Stegostoma tigrinum: one gene and its partner. The protein of the gene in region 1 interacts with the protein of each later gene in a pairwise test. Links are inferred from orthologs where the notes say so. Each region holds a gene or a part of one and is shown in the gene's direction. Other genes may lie near its edges.

Evidence for each region.
Region 2: the proteins of cibar1 (region 1) and cby1 interact in binary tests that used the Homo sapiens proteins (3 or more experiments, as listed by UniProt). The two-hybrid records come from large-scale screens. The link is inferred for Stegostoma tigrinum from reciprocal best matches to the Homo sapiens genes CIBAR1 and CBY1.

The regions. Positions count from the first base shown.
Region 1 is NC_081358.1:90,554,467-90,566,934, forward strand, and holds the start of cibar1 (CBY1-interacting BAR domain-containing protein 1), read left to right. Parts: upstream 1-7,702; 5' UTR 7,703-7,943; coding exon 7,944-7,978; intron 7,979-11,850; coding exon 11,851-12,085; intron 12,086-12,468. UniProt on the Homo sapiens protein: Plays a critical role in regulating mitochondrial ultrastructure and function by maintaining the integrity of mitochondrial morphology, particularly the organization of cristae.
Region 2 is NC_081391.1:1,424,536-1,436,731, reverse strand, and holds the start of cby1 (protein chibby homolog 1), read left to right. Parts: upstream 1-6,975; 5' UTR 6,976-7,052; intron 7,053-7,656; exon of another isoform or gene 7,657-8,206; intron 8,207-11,861; 5' UTR 11,862-11,884; coding exon 11,885-11,962; intron 11,963-12,196. Other genes in the region: protein FAM227A-like, read right to left, coding at 1,820-1,902, 4,571-4,694. UniProt on the Homo sapiens protein: Inhibits the Wnt/Wingless pathway by binding to CTNNB1/beta-catenin and inhibiting beta-catenin-mediated transcriptional activation through competition with TCF/LEF transcription factors.

The DNA.
Region 1 (12,468 bases):
CAATGGAGACATCAAAGGCAGGAGTGCTGCTTGCAGGTAGGATGCCAGCATTCTTATAGTATGCCAGCAAAAAAAATGAGGAACAATTCACGGAATTTGGATGGTCACTATTATAGGGATCCCAAGCCTGTTCAACTTGGTGAAAATTAGGCTCAGGATTCCTTTATAATCAAGCATTGCCATCTATAAAGCAAAATCTTGATCACAGAAATGAACATATTCCAATCAACATTTCTTCCCTTATATTTCTTTTCAATTCCTATCTAATTGGAAATGTTTCAGCTGGGAACGTCAGTAAGTTAAAAAATGTCACACTTCAATGTTATATGTAGAGCAAGAAACCTTGCTTGTTTCAACAAGATAATTTATATTTATTCACTTATGCTAATTGGGCCTAAATATTCAATTGGTCAAATAGGTACATCACCATAATCTCAGAGCACAATAGGGCTGCTTTCTCATTAGAGGGAGTTTACTGGTGGTGGTTTAAGATGAAGTCCCCAAACCTCAGGTGAGATGTGTGATTATGAAAGTTGGAACTTCATGGTGAATTAAATCCATCCTGTTAGTGTGACTCTGCATTGCCTACCAGCCATTCAGTTAACTGAACTTACCCACTCCCACTGGCCAATTATTAACCCAAACAGACAAGTACAATTTGCCAGATGGATCAGAAAAGCTACAATTCACAGATGATCAACAAAAGAATGGTCAAACAAGGAATCAAGTGAACAGAGGAGAAAGCCACCAGCACCTGAAACAGCCTTGTGTTTCTCAAACATTGTGAGAAGTCATGGGTACAGCAGCTTCATAAAGGAAAGAGTGGATATATGTGAGAGCAGGAGTGATGATGGGAGATTAAAAACAAACAGGCAGGGAGGCCTTTCAACTTGCTTCTATTTGTCAGGGCCAAAGTGTGATGTCACAGGAAAACAGATAGATGATCGATGGATACGTTTACCATATCGCTTGGCTAAGTGGCTTAATTCAAATGCTGTTGCAACTGAAAAAATAGTTTGGAAGTTAAATTTAATTTGAAATGACTGGACAGGTGATGTGTTGCAGTTGTAGAATGTGCAACCTGGTGGGTTCTGCAGTGACCACATCTGCAGCAAATGTTGGCTAATTAAGGATCTTTGGCTCAGAGTTGATGAGCTAGAGTCTAAGCTGTGACTACTGCAACACACCAATGAAAAGAGGAGGTACCTGGAAACTGTCAAGTTCAAGTCTGCATGTTCTCAGAATTCTGAAATGGTACACAGTGAAATCAGTTTAGAGAAGAGAAGTGTGGGTCTAAGACTCCTATTTTGAATTTTAACATGGGCAATTAGTAAGACATGAAAACAGAGCTAGTGAAAGTGAATGAACGTTTTAGGTTAAGGAATCAGTCAAAAGAGATACAGTAGCAAACATTTAAGAGAATATTCTAGAAAGCACAAAATAGATATATTCCAAAAACAATCTAAGGTATAGACCTGTCACACTTGATTAGCTAAAAAAAGCAAAGATAGCACTGTTTAAAAAAACATGTAATTGTGCAAAGGTAGATAGCAGGTCAGAAGATTGGGCAGAATATTATTTTAAAAAAAAGCAAAAACTTTCTAAAAGATAAATAAGGTGGGGCAAATTAGAATGAGAGAAAGTTAGTCAAAAGTATAAAACAGAAAGAAAAAGTTCCTTCATATATTTAAAAAAGAAAAGCATTAACCAAGTGTTGACCTTATAGAAAATAAGTCTGGGAAATTAGAGATGGCAGATGAGCTGAACAGATATTTTGCATAGGTCTTCACTAGAAGGGATAATAGTATGATTTGGGAAATAGCTGTGAATCAGAAATGAAAGGGAAAGAGGAACTCAAGAAAATGACAATTACCAGGGAAGTAGTACTAGGTAAAATTTGTTTTATTTTTGTGCCAGGTAGGAATGAATAATTGCTACAGTTCACCCACTTACCCTTTAAATTTTGCCACTGCCTTACCACCATCTTCCTTTTAAGTAATGTCCCCAATCCATCACATTCTAATTGTGCCTCATACAATTGTAATTTTCTCTATTTAGATTTAGAACCCTAGTATTAGAATCAACTACGTCACTCTCTATCTTAGCAAGAAATTCCATCACATTATAGTCGCTCCTTCCCAAAGGGGCCTCACACAACTCGATTGCCAACTATTCCTTTCTCCTTATGCAATAGTCTGGTCTGTTCTGTTCTCAAGGTGTTCCTCAATAAATGCGTTCAGAAAACAATCCTATATACACTCCTGAAATTCATTTTTCCTCATTACAACTTAAAATCACCCATAATTACATTGTGTGAATTGTTAATTTCCTAGTTAGTTAGTTTAATGCCATTCCCAACATCAGTTTGAAGGTTTCGATACAGCACCTTTGTCTTATGCCCCTTGGGTTATTTCAGCTCTTCCCACACAGATTCTACTAACCCAGATCTGATAACCTTCCTCATTATTGAATAAGTTTCCTCTTTAATCAGTAAAGCAACTCAACTGTCTTTTCCTTTTTGACTGTCTTTCCCAAATATTGGATGTTCAGCTCCCATCCTGGTCATGCTGAAGCCATAGTGTCCCCGACCTGGACTTCCAAGAGCTGTGTCTGGAGACACTTCCTGTACACGTATTGGCTTCCAGGCACTTGAACTGTGCCCAACTTCCCAAAATACCAAAGGAAAAGTGCAACACGGCTTTGAATCATTTTGCCAAGGCATACCTCTTTAAATTAAATCCTTTGGAAGATGCTTAATAGCAAAATATTAATTACTCTAGGGTCATTATTCCCTAGTCTGTATTACTATAGGATGTAGTCCTTCCAAACTATAGACCACACTAACAAAAAAACAAAAACACCTCTTCCCCTCTTCAATTTCCCACCATGTTCCTGGCAGTCTGAGGTGACTTGACTGAAAGATATAAGTTCCGAAGGGGACTTGATCAGCTGGATGTCAAAAGGATGATTCATCTTGTGGGAGAGTCTAGAATTAGGGGTCATGGTTTAAAAATAAGGGGTCACCCATTTATGACAGAGATGAGAAAACATTTTTATTAATCTTAAAGATGTAATTAATTTATTCAGCCACGTTACACAATACAACCTACTGACTGATCAGTTCTAATGCTGAAAGAAACTCTTCAGGCTGTCACTAATAATCTGATTTTTCTAGTTTACATGTAGATTAAAGTCATCCATGAATGTCCCTGTGTAACAATCACCCATGCCACCATAAGACTATAAAATATAAGTGCAGAATTAGGCCATTGGCCCATTGAGTCTACTCCACCATTCAACTGTGGCTAATATGTTTCTGCCTTCTCCCCATAACCCTTGATCCCCTTACTAAACAATATCCTGGAGATAGTGACAACTGCCAATGCTGAAGTCAGAGATAACACAATGCGGAGCTGGAGCAGCACAGCAGGCCAGGAAGCATCAGAGGAGCAGGAAAGTTGATGTTTCGGGTCCGGACCCAATACATCAACTTTCCTGCTCCTCTAATCAAGACACTGTCGATCTTTGCCTTAATGACATTCAATGACTTACTTCTTCTTGCATATCTTGTTATCCCATTTTGTTCACTGATAGGGGACCTGTAGACTACTTCCAGTAGTAACTCCTTTTCCTACTAGTCCTCATCTCTTCCTAAACTTGTTGCTTCCTGACCACCTGACACAAGATAATCTGTAACTATTGCAGATGCCATTCTTGATTAACAGTGCGATCCTCCATTTTTATCCATTCTTTTTGTTTGAATGTCATATACCCTCAATATTTCTGACTTAATCCTTGTAATCCTGGAACCAAGTCGCCTCAATGACAATGAGATTGAAAATACGAATACAATGTGCACTATCCTTTTTTACATTATTAGGGATGTTATATACAAATGGCTTTTAGTTTTATCTTTTTGTAACATCCAGTTTTTCTTGTAGGTGTAAAAACTAAAAGAACTGCGGATGCTGTAAATCAGGAACAAAAACAAAGTGGCTGGAAAAGCTCAGCAGGTCCGGCAGCATCTGTGGAGGAGAAAAGAAACTTAACATTTCAGGTCCGGTGACCCTTCCTCCGAACTGGTTCCAGTTCGGACAAAAGGTCATCAGGCCCTAAATGTTAACTCTGTTTTCTTGTCCACAGATGCTGCCAGACATGCTGAGCTTTTCCAGCCATTTTGTTTTTGTTTCTTATAGGTGTATTCCTTGATTTTTTTTTCTTTCTGCCTCTTCTTACATTCTCTGAGCATCATCTCCCATATTATTATTTTCCTTTCCTACCTTGTCTCTTTGGTGTGCTACATTTTTCTACATTTGATCTCTTGAGCCCACGCTTCCCTAACACTGTTCATTTAAAAACTCTTTCTACTTTCCCGGTCACAAAGTTCAAAGAACCACTTTCTAATTTATTGACTAGTTTCCTATTATGTGCTTGCACAATCTATTTCTTAGTTCTGCCTATGTTGTTGGTCTCTACAGGGACTACGACGAATGGATCCTACCTTCTCACTGCAATTTCCTTTCCAGTTCTGAGTAAATTTCCCAAATCTTGGCACCAGGCACCTTGCTTCCAGCTTATAAATACTGAGCCAAAGCTGCTTGAACTTCAAATACTACTGCAGCACTTTAAGTGATCATCTAAAAGCCTCTTAAATTTTGTGGTGATTCTTGCTTCTACCACTCTCTCTGGCAATGAGTTCCAGATACCCAACATCTGCCGTGTGAAATAATTCTTCCTTTATTTCCCTCTAAACCTTCAGCTCCCTCCCTTAAATCTATGCCCCTTGTGTATTAATTCCTTAACTATGAGGAAATGGTTCTTCCTATATATCCTGCCTAAGGCCCTCATCATTTTGTACACCCCAGTCAGATCCTCCTTAGCTTTCTCTCATCTTAAGAAAACATCCCTGGTCTATTTAGTATCTCTTCATATCCGAAATGCTTCAAAATCCTAGTGAATCTCTTCTGCACTTCTCCAGTGCAATCACACCTTTCCTATGATGTGGCAAACAGAACTGTACACAGTACTCCAGCTGTGGCTGAACTAATGTTTCACATAGCACCTTCATAACCCCTTTGATCTTATATTCAATGCCTTGATTTATGAAAGCAAGCATCCCGTATGTCGTCTTAACCAACTTTCCCCCAAAGGAACTGTGGATATTCACACCATGGTCCCTCTGATAGTCTATACTTTGTAGGGTCTGACCATTCAACCACAATCATCAGTCATGCAAAAACCTACAGATCCCATGACTAGTGAAATTTCCTTGGTTGACAATAATGCTTGTCAACAAGTGATTGCCAACAATGTTCATTCTACATGTACTCCCTTGCCTTGTTAGTCCTACCAAAATGCATCACTTCACAACATTTTTAAAAATTTCTTTGTGAGACATGGGATTGCTGGTCGGCTAGCATGAATTACTCGTCCCTAGTCCAAGATTAAATTCCATTTGGCGTTTTTCAGCCCACTCATATTCCCACAGATAATAAAATGTGAGGCTGGATGAACACAGCAGGCCCAGCAGCATCGCAGGAGCACAAAAGCTGACGTTTCGGGCCTAGACCCTTCATCAGAGAGGGGGATGGGGAGAGGGTTCTGGAATAAATAGGGAGAGAGGGGGAGGCGGACCGAGGATGGAGAGAAAAGAAGATAGGTGGAGAGGAGAGTCGGCCCCAAACCCCACCCCTTCCTCCGTTACATTGATGACTGTATCGGCGCCGCCTCTCGCTCCCCAGAGGAGCTCAAACAGTTCATCCACTTCACCAACACCTTCCATCCCAACCTTCTGTTCACCTGGGCCATCTCCAGCACATCCCTCACCTTCCTGGACCTCTCAGTCTCCATCTCATGCAACCCGCTTGTAACTGATGTCCATTTCAAGCCCACCAACTCCCACAGCTACCTAGAATACACCTCCTCCCACCCACCCTCCTGCAAAAATTCCATCCCCTATTCCCAATTCCTCCACCTCCGCCGCATCTGCTCCCATGATGAGGCATTCAACTCCTGCACATCCCAGATGTCCAAGTTCTTCAAGGACCGCAACTTTCCCCCCACAGTGGTCGAGAACGCCCTTGACCGCGTCTCCCGCATTTCCTGCAACACATTCCACACACCCCGCCCCCGCCACAACCACCCAAAGAGGATCCTCCACTTTCTCACACACCACCCCACCAACCTCCGGATACAACGCATCATCCTCCGACACTTCCGCCATCAACAATCCGACCCCACCACCCAAGACATTTTTCCATCCCCACCCATGTCTGCTTTCCGGAGAGACCAGTCTCTCCGTGACTCCCTTGTTCCACCTCCATCTCCTACCTACTAACCTCATCCCACCTCCTTGACCTGTCCGTCTTCCCTGGACTGACCTATCCCCTCCCTTCCTCTCCACCTATCTTCTTTTCTCTCCATCTTCGGTCCGTCTCCCCCTCTCTCCCTATTTATTCCAGAACCCTCACCCCATCCCCCTCTCTGATGAAGGGTCTTGGCCCGAAATGTCAGCTTTTGTGCTCCTGAGACTGGGCCTGCTGTGTTCATCCAGCCTCACATTTTATTATCTTGGATTCTCCAGCAACTGCAGTTCCCATTATCACTGATACAATTATATTCCCACAGAGTCAGCTGTGTCTAGACCTCCACAAGGTCCTGACCTGCAACTCTAAGCTAAAGAACAAAGGGCAACTGTGCTGGGAAGACGGTAAACATGAATGAGAATCATCAGTCAATGAAGGCTGTTAACTACATTGCACCAGTGTGGGGCAATTCACAGATAATAAAATGTGAGGCTGGATGAACACAGCAGGCCAAGCAGCATCTCAGGAGCACAAAAGCTGACGTTTCGGGCCTGAAGGGTCTAGGCCCGAAACGTCAGCTTTTGTGCTCCTAAGATGCTGCTTGGCCTGCTGTGTTCATCCAGCCTCACATTTTATTATCTTGGAATTCTCCAGCATCTGCAGTTCCCATTATCTCTGGGGCAATTCACAAGCAGTTTTCAGGTTTAGAGATAATGGGAACTGCAGATGCTGTAGAATCCGACATAACAAAGTGTGGAGCTGGATAAATACAGCACACCAAGCAGCATCTTAGGAGCACAAAAGCTGACGTTTCAGGCCTAGACCCTTCTTCAGAATAGGGGGAGGGGGAGAGGGTTCTGAAATAAATAGGGAGAGGGGAAAATGGATAGAGGAGAAGATGGGTGGAGAGGAGCCAGACAAGTTAAAGGGGTGGGGATGGAGCCTGTAGAGGTGAGTGTAGGTGGGGAGGTAGGGAGCGGATGGGTCAGTCCCAGGAGGATGATCTGGTCAAGGGGGCGGGATGAGGTTAGTAGGTAGGAAATGGAGGTGCGGCTTGAGGTGGAACGAGGGGATAGGTGAGAGGAGGAAAAGATTAGGGAAGCAGTGACAAGCTGGGCTGGTTTTGGGATGCAATGGGGAGAGGGAGATTTTGAAGCTTGTGAAATCCACATTGATGTGTCTCCTCTCCACCCATCTTCTCCTCTATCCACCTTCCATCCACTTTCCACCTCTCTCCCTATTTATTTCAGAACCCTCTCCCCATCCCCCTTTTCTGATGAAGGGTCTAGGCCCGAAACGTCAGCTTTTGTGCTCCTAAGATGTTGCTTGGCCGGCTGTGTTCATCCAGCCTCACACTTTGTTATCTGTTTGCACGTTTGTTGCCCCTTTCTGATCACGTGGTTATCAGAGGGCGATAGGTTGGCGGAGCGCGGCAGGTGGTTCGGAGTCGCGCCTTGACCATGGGTATGGGACGCGCGTCAGGCGGGGCTGCTATGGTAACGGGGCCAATTCCGCACTCGTTGTGGACTGGCGTGGTCGGTGTATGGCGCAGGCCTGCTCCGGCTCCGGCTGATGGCTGAAACAACGGCCGCTTTTCCCGTCTTTTTTTAACGAGTCGCGGGGTACGGGACAGCCGTCATGTTTCAGGCTCGAGATCAGGACACGCGAGCCAGGTAAGACTCCCCGTTTACCCTCTGGCCGTGGGACCGTTTCGGGCTCCGTTTGTAGGCAAGCTCGAGGCCAAAGGCCGAGGCTCCATCAGCGGCTTCGCGAACCAGCGTCATTTGGCGGTTAGAAAGAAATCATTAGTCTGAGATCCTGAGTACTTTGCTTTTATTTTAATCTGTAAAATTCAGGGCTTGGCTAAGTAGAAACTCGCATCTTTCTCCAGTTTCTATCTAATCTCCTCTCCTGCCTTATCATTGCTCACCTTGCCCATGAGACCCATCTTCAACTCACTAAGCTTCATTTCTAAACGGCCAACCATCCTAATTCCCCGTATTCTGGTATCATTAATAGCCCGCGCTCTCTGCTGATTAAAATTGCAGAAAACCAAAGCCACCACCTTCACTTGCTGCTGTGGATTCCATTCCCTGACATCTGAACCCACTCCTTACTGTGGAAACTGTCTGCAGCTGAACAATTTTGTTGTATTTGATCCCAGGATAAGTTTGTGACTGTATTGCTACACCATCCCTGATACCAGATATGCCAATCTTCAGAATATCACCTTAAACCACCTTGCACCAACTCATCTGCTGTCATCCATGTCTGTTTTTTGGTTACCTTTAGACTTAATGATTCTAATACATCTCTGACAAGTCTCTTATAATGACTCCCATTTCCACTCAGATATGTGAAATCATCCAAAACTCTGCTGCTCGTGCATTTTCTCTCTCAAACTCCAGTTCACTGATCACCCCTATGCTTGCTGACTAGCATTGGTTCCTTGTCAAGTAATTTCTTGATTTAAAATTTCACTCTTCTTTTGAAATTCCCCACAGACCTCATTCCTCCTTATCTGCATGATGTAAGGAATTGTGGGATTAGGGAGCTAGTTGTATTTATAAGGTACTACTCATAAGGCTACTTAATAAGATAAAAACCCATGGAGTTGAAAGTAATATCCTAGCATGAATAGAGGATTCGCTAACTAAAAGAGTTGGGTTAAGGAGGGTGGGCATTTTTCAAAATGGCAACCAACAATGACTGGAGTGCTATAATGATCAATGTGAGGGCCACATTGATTTACGATAATAGACTTGGTTGAGGAAAGTGAATTTACTATAGCCAAATTTGTGAATGACACAAAAATAGGTGGGAAGGCAAGCGACGAGGATAGAACAGGTTCTGCAGAGAGATATAGATGGGTTAAGTGAGTGGGCAGACACTTGGCAGATGAAATATAAGGTGGGAAAATGTGAAGTTAAGTGCTTTAACCAGAAGAATAGAGGAGCTGAATATTATTTATTTGGAACAAATTGTGCAACAGAGGGCCGAGCAGGAAATTTTGATGTTTTGGGTTGGGACCCTTCTTCAGAAAATTTTCTGAAGAAGGGTCCCGACCCAAAACGTCAAACTTTCCTGCTCCTCTGCTGCTTGGCATGCTGTGTTCATCCAGCTTCACACTGTGTTATCTCAGATTCTCCAGCATCAGCAGTTCCTACTCTCTGCATGACGGAGAGGTTTGGCAGTCTTTGCGCATGACTCACACAATGCTAGCATCTAAATTCATTGAGTAGTAGGGAGGATAAATGGAATGTTGGCATTTAATTTTATAGGTGGTGGAGAAGAAAAGTAGGGAGATATTGCAAAAACCATACGAGACACTAGTCTAAGGAAAAATATCCTCACATTGCCAGCAGTCCAGAGGAGATTCCCTACATTTTTACACAAGTGAAGGGTTTGTCTTATGAGGTGAGGTTGAGTCAGTTGAGCCTGTATCCTTTGGAATTTAGGAGAATGAGGAGACCTTATTGAAATGTACAAGGTTCTTTGGCTGCTTAACAGGGCAGATGTGGAAAGGTTGTTTCCCCTTGTGACAGAATCTAGGACAAGAGGGCATAATTTCAGAGTAAGGGGTTATACATTTAAAACAGGGATGAGGAGGAATTTCTTCTCAGATGGCAGTGAATCTGAAATTCCTTGCAGACGGTTATTAAAGCTGGGTCATTAAGTATCTTCAGCATGTAGATAGAATCGGGGAGGGAATCAAGGGTTACGGAGAAAAGGCAGAAAAGTGGAGTTAATGATTATCGGCCCAGCCGTGATGTCATCAAATGGCAGACCAGACATGATGGGCTGAATGACCTGTTTCTGCTCCTATGTTTAATGACCCCTTTCGAATTAAAGAGGATGGATTGGAGAGTGGGAAGGGAGCTCAGATTTTGTTTTGGACTCGAATCCTTGCCCTCCCTGGAGTGTGAAAAATTCAGAAAACTCAATTTCTGAACTTTCTAGCAGCACTGAGGAAAGCAGAACCTCAGATACGCGTGTCTCTAATCCACACTGAAGGGAACCATTTTAGTTATGCTGAAAGGCTCTGGTATATTTAGGCCAACGTCTTCCAGTTGTCAGAGGTTTGAGCTTCCAGCTGGCAACTCCCTGCTCCTCAGGATCCTCCAAAAAAATTTCAAATTCTGAGTTAGGCTCAGAAGCTTAGGTATTCTTAGAGTGGGTGAGGTCATGCAGATGGACCATGTGAAAGATAAGCCATAATTGACTGTGTTTCCGGCCTGGGAATTTAAAACTTTTAACAAGCAATTACCAGGTGTCTAGAATCTTCTTTTTCCCCAAAAAATATTCCTAACTTTGAGTTAGAGCTGGAAACTTTGGATGGTTCCAACAGACTTCACTTTGTGTCGCACAGGAAAAGTTGGAGGTCCTAAGACTATGAGACTATAATACATCGGAGTGAAAGCAAACCATTCGGCCATTGAGTCTGCTGTAGTTCAATGAGATCATGACTGATCTGGTAATCCTCAACTCCACTTTCCTGACTTTTTCCCACAGCCCTCGATTCCCCTTAATAACAAAATCTGCCTAATTCTCCCTTGACTACACTTAACGGCCCAGTTTCTATAGCTTTTTGCAGTGAAGAATTCCACAGATTGATTACACACAGAGAAGAAAATCCTGTCCTCTGTCCTAACCGGGCAACCCTTATTCTTTTTGTTATGCCATTTTGTCCTAAACTCACCTATAAGGGAAACAACTTCTCTGTATCTAACTTCTCAAGTCCCCTAAGAGAATGTATACTTCAACAAGGTAATTTCTTCTTCTTGTAAACTCTAATGAGTACCTGGAATCAACCTATTGAAGCTTCTTTTTACTGCCTGTTTAGATGTGGAACCAAAAGTGTTCACAGTATTCTAGGTGTGATCTTGTATAGTTTTAGCAAGATTTCCTTATTTTTGTATTCCAGTCCCTTTTGAAATCGAGGCCAACATTCAATTTGTCTTCCTTGTTACCCGCTGTACTAATGCTAGCTACATGTGATTTATGCACGAGGACCGCCATATTCTTCTGTGCTGAATTTTCTGCGGTATTCCACGTTGTGCAGTCAATATCACTAATGTGCAAGAAAATAAAAATCATCTTGGGATTTTTGTGCAGATTGGAGATTGTGATGAAGAAATGGCTATTATCAGCTATGGCATCCATCTTCTCTACATTTTCCAACATCAGGGGAATCCTGCAGAAATTTGAGCCAAAATATTTTAGCATCCCTGATGGCTTGATGCTAAATTGTGTAATACTAAAAGTTCACCCCTTTCAGAACTTGCTGATGGGGTTGTGGATGGGTAAAGATGAGCAAGAGCCGTCTGTTTTGCTATCTCCTAAATTATCCCCACCACAATTCACAAATTTGTCTCACTTGTCAACTCTCTGGATTTCCACAATGCTGCTAAAGGAGAAGCAAGGTTGACATCACAATTACTAGTCACAACATGCAACAAGTTTTAGAAGAGATCCTCTGTCATAATTTTTATCTCTAAAACTTTCATTATTCTGCAGCAACTAAAAGTAAAACTTTCTTTTTCAGAGACAGTCAAACAAAGTATATTCACAGCACTGTTGTAAATGTGGAAAAGCACTTTGGTGAGATCTGCACCTTATTTGCAGCCTATGCACGGAAAACTGCAAGACTACGTGATAAGTCAGACCTGCTGGTTAAAGAACTCCGAGAGTACTCCGATACAGAAACTCCTAATTTAAAATATGGTCTAAGTAGCTTTGCAGATCACTTTGCTTTAGTTCAAGATTATAGACATGCAGAGGTGAGTTGCTGAAAATATTTGTGTGTGGCAGTACACCATGTTCAACACAGTCTTTTCACTTCTGATTTTGATCTGCGTGAAGTTCACTATAATTGCATTAAGTGACTTTTTTTTTCTACTGGATATTTCTAAATCTTTGGCTTTCTGTGAAGCAACAGCTACCATTCAGAATCAATTATCAGTACCACTCGAGGCAGAAGGATTCCAAAATGGAAATTGAAATTGGGACAATGGCGAGTATTCATCTGAAGTTAGTTGCCCAGTGATCCACGTTGGCAGTAAGAAAAGTGAGATAACATAAAATAAAGAGTAAACTTCAAAAGGAGTGCAGGAGCAGAGGGACCTGTGTACATAAATCATTGAAGGATAGGTTGAGATATTAC
Region 2 (12,196 bases), on another chromosome or scaffold:
CCTGTCTCGCCCTGGGTGATGCAGTCCATCACTCCTGTCTATCACTCGGTGACACAGTCCATCACTCCTGTCTCTCACCGGCTGATGCAGTCCATCACTCCTGTCTATCACGGGGTGATGCAGTCCATCACTCCTGTCTCACACCGGCTGATGCAGTCCATCACTCCTGTCTATCACTCGGTGATACAGTCCATCACTCCTGTCTCTCACTGGGTGATGCAGTCCATCACTCCTGTCTCTCACGGGGTGATGCAGTCCATCACTCCTGTCTCTCACTGGGTGATGTAGTCCATCACTCCTGTCTCTCACGGGGTGATGCAGTCCATCACTCCTGTCTATCACTCGGTGACACAGTCCATTACTCCTGTCTCTCACGGGGTGATGCAGTCCATCACTCCTGTCTCTCACTGGGTGATGTAGTCCATCACTCCTGTCTCTCACGGGGTGATGCAGTCCATCACTCCTGTCTATCACTCGGTGACACAGTCCATCACTCCTGTCTCTCACCGGGTGATGCAGTCCATCACTCCTGTCTATCAGTCCTGTCTATCACTCGGTGACGCAGTCCATCACTCCTGTCTCTCACTGGGTGATGCAGGAGTGATGCAGTCCATCACTGCTGTTTATAACTAGGTGACACAGTCCATCACTCCTGTCTGTCACTGGATGACGCAGTCCATCACTCCTGTCTCTCACTGGGTGACACAGTCCATCACACTGTCTATCACTGCGTGACACAGTCCATCACTGCTGTCTATCACTGGGTGATGCAGTTCATCACTCCTATCTCTCAATGGGTCATGCAGTCCATCACTCCTGTCTATCACTCGGTGACACAGTCCATCACTCCTGTCTCTCACGGGGTGATGCAGTCCATCACTCCTGTCTATCACTCGGTGACACAGTCCATCACTCCTGTCTCTCACCGGGTGATGCAGTCCATCACTCCTGTCTATCAGTCCTGTCTATCACTCGGTGATACAGTCCATCACTCCTGTCTCTCACTGGGTGATGCAGTCCATCACTCCTGTCTCTCACGGGGTGATGCAGTCCATCACTCCTGTCTCTCACGGGGTGATGCAGTCCATCACTCCTGTCTATCACTCGGTGACACAGTCCATCACTCCTGTCTCGCCCTGGGTGATGCAGTCCATCACTCCTGTCTATCACTCGGTGACGCAGTCCATCACTCCTGTCTCTCACTGGGTGATGCAGGAGTGATGCAGTCCATCACTGCTGTTTATAACTAGGTGACACAGTCCATCACTCCTGTCTGTCACTGGATGACGCAGTCCATCACTCCTGTCTCTCACTGGGTGACACAGTCCATCACACTGTCTATCACTGCGTGACACAGTCCATCACTGCTGTCTATCACTGGGTGATGCAGTTCATCACTCCTATCTCTCAATGGGTCATGCAGTCCATCACTCCTGTCTATCACTCGGTGACACAGTCCATCACTCCTGTCTCTCACTGTGTGATGCAGTCCACCACTGCTGTCTATAACTGGGTGACACAGTCCATCACACTGTCTATCACTGCGTGACATAGTCCATCACACTGTCTATCACTGGGTGACACAGTCCATCACACTGTCTATCACTGGGTGACATAGTCCATCGCTGCTGTCTATAACTGGGTGACACAGTCCCATCTCTTACTGGGTGATACACTTAATCACTCCTGTCTCTGAATGGGTGATAAACTTGATAATTCTTGTATTTGGGTGATGTACTCAGTTTTTCCATCTCTGTGAAAAGGCAAAGTGCTGGGAGCTGAACAGCCTCACATGGGAAACAAGACAACTGTGACTCACCAAGGCTTCAGGATGAGCATGCAATGTGCCACTTAAATGTTGAATCCTCTCATTCACCAGGTCCATTGAGCCAATCACGAATGCTGAACTTTATTGGTTAAGTGAAAAATAATTGATATTTCCATGAAACTGCTGCAACGTAAATCTCAGGGCTATAATTCCCCCGTAATCACCCCACTCTGCCCTTCATTCCCCCCATCCTGCAGTCCAGTTTCTTAAGTCCTCTTCCTGTTTCCCATTCTACTCCCCTTTCTTTTCTCACCCTCTACCAACTCGCCTTTCTTGCTCCTATCTTTCCCTTTTTCCTTTCTCTGTTGATTGCCCACTCTCCGCCTTTCTTTTCCCATTGTTCAACATCTCCCCTTTCTCTCCTAGTTTCTCATTCCTGTCCCCATTCAAATCCACCTCCACAACCTCCTATCTCACCCTCCTCTCTCCCACTCACTGCTGCACTTTCCTCAGGTCTCAGTGCTGGCTGTCTACATGAGTGATGAAATTGTATTTTTAAAAGCAGCTGAACAAAGCCCAGTCTGAGCTGGGGAATCTCCAGCCCCGAGCGAGTGTCACTACCACCCAGCCCTGGGGGTATCACTTGCCTGAGTTGATGACCATCCCTCCTGTTTCAAGCCTTACACTTGAGAATGGCATCCAACAACCACTGACAGACTGCCACTTCAGCATCAGAGTTGTCACTCGGGTGAAGGGTTATACCAAGGCTGCATTCACAATTTCAGGTGGACATCAAAGATCCCACAGAACAACTTATAAGAATACACACCACCAGATAACAAAGTGTGGAGCTGGATGAACACAGCAGGCCAAGCAGCAGCTTAGGAGCACAAAAGCTGATGTTTTGAGCCGAGATCCTTCATCAGAAAAGGGGGAGGGGGAGAGGGTTCTGAAATAAATAGGGAGAGTCGGGGAGGCGGATCGAAGATGGATAGAGGAGAAAATAGGTGGAGAGTTGACAGACAAGTCGAAAGGGCGGGGATGGGGCCCAAAGAGGTGAGTGTACGTGGGGAGGTAGAGAAGGGATAGGTCAGTCCGGGGACGACGGACAGGTCAGGGGAGCAGGATGAGGTTAGTAGGTAGGAAATTGAGGTGCGGCTTGAGGTTGGAGGAGGGGATAGGTAAGAGGAAGAACAGGTTAGGGAGGCAGGGATGAGCTGGGCTGGTTTTGGGCCCACCTGTCTTCTCCTCTATGGTGGGTCTAGGCCTGAAACATCAGCTTTTGTGCTCCGAAAATGCTGCTTGGCCTGCTGCGTTCATCCAGCTCCACACTTTCTTATCTCGGATTCTCCAGCATCTGCAGTTCCCATTATCTCAGAATACACAGCACTCCCTGGTGTCCCAGCCAATATTTAACACCAAGGAAGAGGGTAGTTGTAGAGGGGTGTTTTACTGATTGGAGGTCTGTGACCAGTGGTGTCCCTCAAGAGTCATTGCTAGGACCTCTGGTGTTTGTAACATATATAAATGTCCTCCCAGGACAGGTACAGCAGGGTTAGATACAGAGTAAAGCTGCCTCTACTTTTTAAAACTGAAAGTAAAGCCTCTCCACATTGTCTCTACCAAACACTCCCAGAACAGGGACAGCATAGGGTTAGATAGACAGTAAAGGTCTCTCTACTACTGTAAACTGAAAGTAACCTAAAATAAAGCTGACTCTACACTGTCTCCATCAGACACTCCAAGGCAAGAGACAGCTTGTGTTTAAGAGACAGAATAAAACTCCATTTATGCTGTCCCTCATCAAACCCTGTGAGGACAAGTACAGCTTGGGGTTATGTGCAGACTAAAACTCCGTCTACACTATCCGCCATCAAATAGTCTTAGGACACGTATATCACAATGTTAGGTAGAGAATGAAGCTTACTTGGCACTATTCCCTTTAAACACATCCAGGATATGTATTGCAGTTCACTGGTCAGCATCGCTGCCTCACACCACCAGGAACCTGGCTGAGTTATGGTCTGTAATGGTGTCCTCCAGGAGCACCCAGTATGCCCTAACACACTGGCCACACTGCCGTACATCAAGAACATATCTAAACTGACAACAAGAGTCCTAAGACCACTAGGAATCATGGTAGCTCACAAGCCCACAGCCACACTACAACAAACACTTACTCAGATAAAAGACCCCATTCACACAATATGCAGAACCAACACGGCTTACAAAATACCATGCAATGACTGCCACCAACATTACATCAGACAGACAGGACGGAAACTAGCCATCAGAATACATGAACATCAGGTAACAGCTAAATGGCACGATGAACTCTCCTTAATATTGGTACACTCAGACAATGAGGGCTATCAGTTTAACTGGGAAAAGTAACTCGAATAACCCAAGCCAAACATAGGCATGCATAGGAAATCCCAGAGGCATCGTTCTCGACCTGTCATCAAATGCATAGAATTGGACACTGTATACAAACCCATACAGATCAAAACCAGAAATGACACTACTCACTATAACAGACCAAACAGTATAAATTCCAAGCGGAGCAGAATGACACTGCTTGATCGGAGGCTCCACTGATGATGTCACCTAAGATGGTCTGAATGAAAATAAGCCAGCTCGTTGAGCAAGTCAACAACCTGAGATTAAACTGGTTTTCAGCCATCACTCCCACGAGTCAGTGTTCTATCAGCTATCTTCTCACATTGTCTGCTGTCTCCCTAATACCTTGACAATGACAAGAGCCCCAAGCAACATAGGAATTGAGCAAAAATAAAAGGATGCGAGCAGGAAAATCCTGCAAACGTTTCTTCACCATCTGTCTCTGCCGGGCTGCCACCTCCACTGGTAAATCCATATTCTCTTCATAGAGCGCCAATGGAGTAAGGGCTGTGTTGATCTCAACCATCTTCACACTGCTTACTCACCCTGCGTGGAGAATGCAGAACATATCCAACTTAACATGGTCACCTGCTAACCAGCATGGGATCCGTCTGTGCATGTAGTGGGGGATGGGGGATCAACTGGAGGTAAAGGGCAGGGGGGCACAGACAATGGAGGAATAAATTACAGAGTAGGGGGGGTAAGGAGAGGAAGGGGCAGTGAGTTGGTTGGGGAGAGTGAGGGCAATAGGCCAGGGGCAATGTGGGAGGCGATGGGGAACAGGAGAGGGGCCAGGCGAGTGTGTGAGGAGCGGGGAAAAGGCCAGGGAACTTGGGGAAGAGATGGCAGAGTAAGAAAAGTGTGAAGGAGGAAGGTGGAATAGAGAAAGGGAGGGAGGAAGGAGGCAGGGATAGGGAGTTGGGGGGGAAGAGGGAGGAAGTGAACAGGAAAGAGTTGGAGGAGGGGGCGTGGGTAGAAGATCAGGTGAGTGGGGTGGGATTGGGGAAACTGGGGGAGAGAGAGTGAGTGAGGTAGAGAGAGGGGAAAGTGAGGGAAGTGAGAACTGGGGAGTAGGTGGGGGGCATGAGGAACGGGGTGTGTTTGTGAGGAATGGGAGAGGGGGCGGGGAAGTGGGAGGGGGAGGGGAGGGAGGGAGCATAGGGGTGGATTGTGAGGAGTGGGAGGGGGGCAGAGGTGTAGGACAGGGAGCAGGGTACAGAAGAAGTTTCTTTAGTTTTCCCACTCTATGTCTCTATTTTGTCTGTGTTTTTCACACTCTCTCTCTGTCTATTTCGCTGTCTTGTGTCTCCAACTCTTTATGATCTTCCTCACTCTCTCGATCCCTCTGTTGTCTGAGTTTTCTGTCCTATCTTTTTATTCGTTATCTCTCTCACTCTCTCTGACTCTCAGTTCTCTCATACTGTATTTTCTCTCTACTCTCAATCTCAATGCTCTCTCATTATTCTATTCTTTCTCACTTTATTCACTCTCACCTGTTATTCTCTCTCTATCTTCTCTGCCACTCTCTATTCTTTCTATCTCTCTATAGCCTCTCCCTCTCACTCTATTTGCTCTCTCTGTTCTTGCTTTCACTCTCTGTTCTCTTTCTCTCCATTGTCTCTTTTCTTCTGTCTATTATTTTGTCTCCTACTCTATCTCTCTATTCTCTCTGCTTCTATTCTCTACTCTCTCCCTCTCTTTATTCTCTTCCACTATCTCTGTTCTCTTCCTCTCTCTATCGTCTTTCTGTATCTGTTCTCTTCCTCACTTTCTATTTTCTCTTGCGTTATTCTTGCTGTCACTCTCTATTTTCTTTCTCTATACTCACTTCCTCACTCTCTCTGTATTTTCTAACTCTCTGTTGTCCATCTACCTGTCTATTTTATCTCCCTCATATTCTATTCTATGTTATCTCCGTTATTTTCTCTATTCTGTCATTCTATCTCTATATCCTCACGCTGTAACATTCTATTCTTTCTCCCTCACTCTCTCTCTTCTCTCTGGAAAGATCTCTGTTGCCTCTTTCTCTGTTCTCATTCACGATTGTCTCTTTTTTTCTTTATCTTCACTCCCACACTGTTTATTCTCTCCCTGTGTTGTTTCTCTCTATTTTCTCCCTCACAATCCTTTTCTCTTTCTCTATCATTCTATTGTCTCTCCCTTTCTCAATTCTCTCTCTATTCTCTGTCCAGTTTTCTGTTGTCTCCCTCTATCTATTTTAACTCTATTTCCTCAATCATTCTGTTATCTCTAGCTCTGTTTCCTCCCTCAATCTCTCTATTCTCGGTCTATTTTTTCTTTCTCCCTATTCACTCACTCTTATCTCTCTCACTTTAACTCTCTTTTCTCACTATCTCTCTCTCACATTTTCTATTCTCTCCCTCTATTCCATCTCCTCTATATCTCTTAGTATTGTCATTTTTTATTCTCTCTCTCGCACTGTCTGTATTCACTCTTTTTCTCTCACACTCACTGTTCTCTCTCTCTCTCTCACTCACTCTATTCTCTGACTCTCTGTTCTCTCTCACTCTGTTGTCTCTGTCTCACTGTTGTCTTTCTCCATTCTCTGTTGTCTCTCTCCCACTCTCCATTGTTGAGGCTGTTGCTATGGGAACCGGGTGCCCCATATTGTCGGGGAGGGAGTGATCTGTGTTAAGAATGGTTTCTGGCCGATCAATAGGTTCTGAATAGCGGGTACTGCTCGGGGAAATATTATAAAAGTCTTTAGTATGACGAATGTGACCACGGCTGAGGGAGAGAGCGCGGAAATACGCTGAGAGTTAAATTGTTCATCACACCGCCCTTCCCTCCCCGGCATGATGGACTCATCCACGGAGGGAGGGCGCAGGCGCAGAATTTGGAGGAACTGGACGAAGAACGGAAGGTGAGAAGGAGACAGAGAGAGGATGGATAGAAAGAGAGGGAGGGTGGATGGAGAGAGGGAGAAGGAGAGAGAGAGGGAAGGAGGAAACGGAGGGGGGGCGGCGGGAGCAGAAAGAGAGGGAAGGGCAGGGGGAGAGGGGAGAGCCTCGAATAAATTCAGTGACCCAGTCTTTTCTGTTCTGGGGAATAGAATTTCACAGATTAATGACCATCTGAGAAATAAAAGAAGTGGCCTCACCATCTTAAGATGTCCTTGTCTAGGAACGAGTCTATTGAAGCTTCTCTCACTGCTTTTAATGCAATTATATCCTTTTTTCCGATATGGAGATATTACAGTACACAGTGCAGCAAATGAAGTTTCACCAAGTTCCTGTATAGCAGTAAATCACCACTACTTTTAAAGTCTGAGATAATGGGAACTGCAGATACTGGAGAATCCGAGATAACACAGTATGGAGCTGGATGAACACATTAGCCAAGCAGCATCTTAGGAGCACAAAAGCTGATGTTTCGGGCCTAGACCCTTCTTCAGAAAAATGTTCCCCTTCCAATAACTGTCAATGCTCCATTTGTTCACCTAATCACTTGTGAACCTGCATACTCACCTTTTGTGATCAATGTACCAGCGCACCAAGATCCCTCTGTCTTCCAAGCTCTGTGATCTTTCTCCATTTATAGAATGTACTGCTTTTCTCTTCCAGTCAAAGTGGACAAGTACGTTTTCCCATATTACATTCCATCTGCCAATTTTTTTTCCTACTGTATTAACTATGTAGACTGTCCACGTCGTCTTTTCAATCTACTAGTTTGGTGTTATCAGCAAATTTGGCCAACATTTAATTCTCACATCAAATTCATGTATATGAATAGTAAATTATTGAGACTCCAGCGCCTAGTCCTATGACACTCCATTAGTTTTAGCTTTCCAACTCGAGGACGACATGAATTCCTACTGTCTGCTTTCTTTTGGCTAACTAGTCATCTATCCCTGCTGATGTGTTATAGTCTGTAGATTCTCTGTTGTTCTCTTATGCTTGTTCCTGCTTCAAGGTGCCAATCCCTTTTTTATTAGATTAACACCGGACTGAGAGGTTATAACTAATAGAAAAGACTAAACAATCTGCAACATATTCCTGTAGAAAACAAAAGACATCAGTAAAGCTATCCCCCGGCCTGCCAGATTATGTTTGGTAATACAGATGATAGATGTTTACAGCACTGAAGGAGGATATTCAGCTTATTGTGTCTGCACCGGTCAGCAAAGATATGACCACACTAATCCCAGATTTTGGCCCATTGCCCTGGAAGCTACAGCAAAGGAAGTGAATATCTAAATACTGCTTAAGTGTTCTGATAATTTCTGACTCTGCCACCCTTTGAGATAGTGAATTCCAGATTCTCACCACCCTCTGAGTGAAAACATTTCCGCTGAATTCTCCTCTTAACCTTTTACTTCTTAAATCTATGACACCCCTGGTTATTAACCCTTCAATTAATAGTGGCCTTTATATCCACTATCTGTGTCATTCATAATTTTGTACACCTCTATCAGTCCCTCTCAACCTTCCGTGCTCCAAGGCAAATATCCCGAGCCTATCCAACCTTTTCTCATTGCTGGGCCCCTCCAACACAGGCAACATCCTGTTAAATCTCCTCTGCACTCTCCCTTGTGCAATCACATCATTCCTACGGTGTGGTGACCAGAACTGCACACAGTACTCCAGCTATGGCCTAACCAGCATTTTATACAATCCAATCATAATCTTCCTGCTCTTTTATCTAATCCTTGGCTAATGAAGGCAAATATCCCAATTCTTTCCTCACCACCCTTTGTACCTGACCCGATACCTACAGGGGTCTGTGGATATACACGCCAAGGTCCTTCTGATCTTCAGTGTTTCCAGGATCTTACTATTTGTAGTGGAATTTCTTGTTAACCCTACCTAGTTATACTGGTGTTATACTGGAAACCAGGACCGTAAAATAGCGGAATTCAGCATTAAATTTGAGAGGGAGAAATGTGAATCAGAAGTAGCTTTTACAAGCAGAAGTAAGGGTAGTTAGAAAGATATGAGGACAGACCTAGCTGGTGTGGCCTTGGAAAGGAGTTTAGTAGTAAAGACATTTGAGGAATAATGACAGATTTTTGAGAAAATAGTTAATGGCTCACAGCAAAGATACATATGAGCGAGAAAGAAGAATTCTAGGAAGGTGATAAGCCAACCTTGGTTAACCAAGGAAGCATCAAATTGAAAGGAAAAAAAAATAATGTGGGAACAAATTATTGGTAAGCCAGAGGATTGGGAAAGATTTAGAAACCTACAAAAGACAACAAAAAAAAGAGAAGATAACATTTGAGGGTAAACTTGCAAGTAATATCAAGATGAACAACAAAAACTTCTATAAATATATACAAAGAAGAGAGAGTTAACAAAGGCCACTCAGAGAACAAGGCTGAGGAAATAATGGGAACCCAGGAAATTGTAGAGGAATTGAATATATACTTTGCAGCACAGTAGAAGACGCTAATAGTATTCCAAGATTACTAAATTACAAGGGGCAAAAAGAGGAGAAGAAGTAAATAAATACAATACTATCATGAGAGAAGAAGTTCGAGGGAAATTAAAGGGTGTAAAAACCAATAACTTCCCTGAACCCGATGGGATGCATCCGAGAATTATAAGAGCAGAAAGGTTATATTAGAGCTGTACAAAACTTCGGCTAGGCCACAGCTGGAGTACTGTGTGTAGCTCAGATTGCCACATTATAGGAAGAATGTGATTACACTGGAGGGGTGCAGAGGAGATTCGCTAGGATGTTGGCTGGGTTGGAGTATATTGGCTGTGAAAAGAGCCTGCGTTATTTTCTTTAAACAGAAAAAACTGAGGGAGGGATGTTGGGTGTGATTTGATTGAAGTGTATAAAATTGAGTGGCATGGACTGGGGATAAAGCAGTTGCTCCCCTTAGTTGAAGGGTTGATAACAAGGGACCATTATGTTAAGGTGAAAAGCAGGAGGTTTAGAGGGGATTTGAGAAAATAATTTAGTTCACTCAGAGGGTGACCTAGACAATAGACTCAACGTGGCATATTCAAATTTGCTGACAAAAAAAAACTGAGAGGAGGACACCAAGAGATATAGGCAAGTTAATTAAGTGGGCAACAAAATGGCAGGTGTGGAAATGTGAGGTTCTTCACTTTTATATTAGTAGAAAAATTGAATATTTTAAAATGTAGTAAACATCTAAATTTTTCCATTCACGGGACTTAGGTACACTTGTTTGAGGAATACAAAGTTAGCATGCAGGTACAACAAATTATTTGCTAGGCAATTGTAGTGGCTTGAATTGCAAGTTAGTTGGAGTATAGGAAAAGGAAGTTTTGCCACAATAAAGGAGTTTGGTGATATCACGTCTGGAACACTCTGCGCAATTTTGGTCATCCTATTTAAGAAAAGATAGACTTGCATTGAAGGCAGTAATGAAGCTTCATTAAATTTGTCCCTGAGATAAGAGGCTAAGTGAATTGTATATTCTGTAGAGTATGGAAGAATAGGAGGTGATTTCATTGAGATACATTAGGGAACTGACTGGTCAACCCAAGAGATTGTTTCCACAGGGCAGTGAATCTAGGGACACAGTTTCAGGATAAGGGATTGATCATTTGGAACTTAGATGAAGAGTTCCTTCAGTCAGAGGGCTTTGAATCTTCGGACTTGTCATTGAAAACATTTAAGACTGAGATTGACAGATTTTTGGTGCTTCAGAATCAAGGGATATGAATAGTAGAACTGAGACAGAGGATTAGCCATGCAAGGGTTTTGTACTATTTGTTCTTGGGATGTAGGTGTCATTGGCTAGTCCAGCATTTACTGCCCATCGTCTGTCTACCTGTCTGTCAGCCTGTCTATCTATCTGCCTAATTTCACGTGTATTATTTTGCAAAATACATTGAAAAGTGTTGTACAGCTCGGGCGCCATCTTAAAAGGCAGAAAAGTAAACCAAAACAGAGAACACAAAAGGCAGAAGAATAAAGAAATAGAGTTCAACTTTACAGTCCTTCTTGTTAAGTGCTCTGCTGTGGGCCTGATTGCCAACCATGAGTCACCATGAGAAAGTGGTGTGAACTATCTTTTTGAATTGCTGCAGTCGTGCTGTAGGTAGACCCACAATGTGAGGAAGGAAGTTCCAGGATTTTGACCCAGCAACACTGAAGGAACAACAGTAAATTTCCATTCAGGATAGTGTTTCCATGTACCTGTGCCATTGTCCTTCTAGATGGAGAGGTGGTCAGTTTGGATGATACTTTTGAAGTGTTGCCGAGTTACGTGTGGTATACATTCCTGCTATTGAGTGTCTGTAGTGAAGGGAGTGAATGTTGAAGGTAGTAGATGGGTGCCAGTCAAATAAACTTTTATCCTGGATAGTGTCGAACTTCTTGAGTGTTTTTGGAAGTGCACCCCACCCAGGCGAGTGGGGTGTATTCCAATACAATTGTGACTTTTGTCTTTTAGATGATGGACAGGAGATGACTTACTCACTGCGGCATTCCTGCCTCCTGACCGACTCTTGATCTTATGTGGAAAGGAGGAGCAGGTTCAAGAGGCTAAATGGTCTTTTCCTGTTTCATGTCTAATGTTTTTGCTGTGCTCTGATCTGAGATTTGATCCTCTTCTCTAGGCTATGTACATGCTGTTGCCTGTGTGACATATCCCCAGAATCCTCCATGTCCTTCTCGCTTGCCTTGTGACCGTACCTCCTCTCTACGTGTTGTTGTACTGTACCTTATGGTCTTCTTTGTGCATTTTCAGGTAACGGGACCTGAAGAAGAGCCATGCCTCTGTTTGGCAATGTCTTTAGTCCGAAGAAAACTCCGCCCCGAAAATCAGCCTCTCTTTCCAGCTTACACACAGTATGTTGTCGTTGGGAGTGTGAACAACTTCGTCACACCTAGCTGCTGAGAAATTTTAACTTATGTATTGCTTATCGGACATCACTGTCCCCTCATACTGTGCACTTTGTACCTACAACTGTCTCGCCTGGACTGGAGGGAGCCTTTTTCGCTCCCAGCTGCATGGTATGAAGGTGACAGTGAGACCAGATTATTGTTGGAGTACTCAAACCATCCAAGCCATGAAGAGTATTC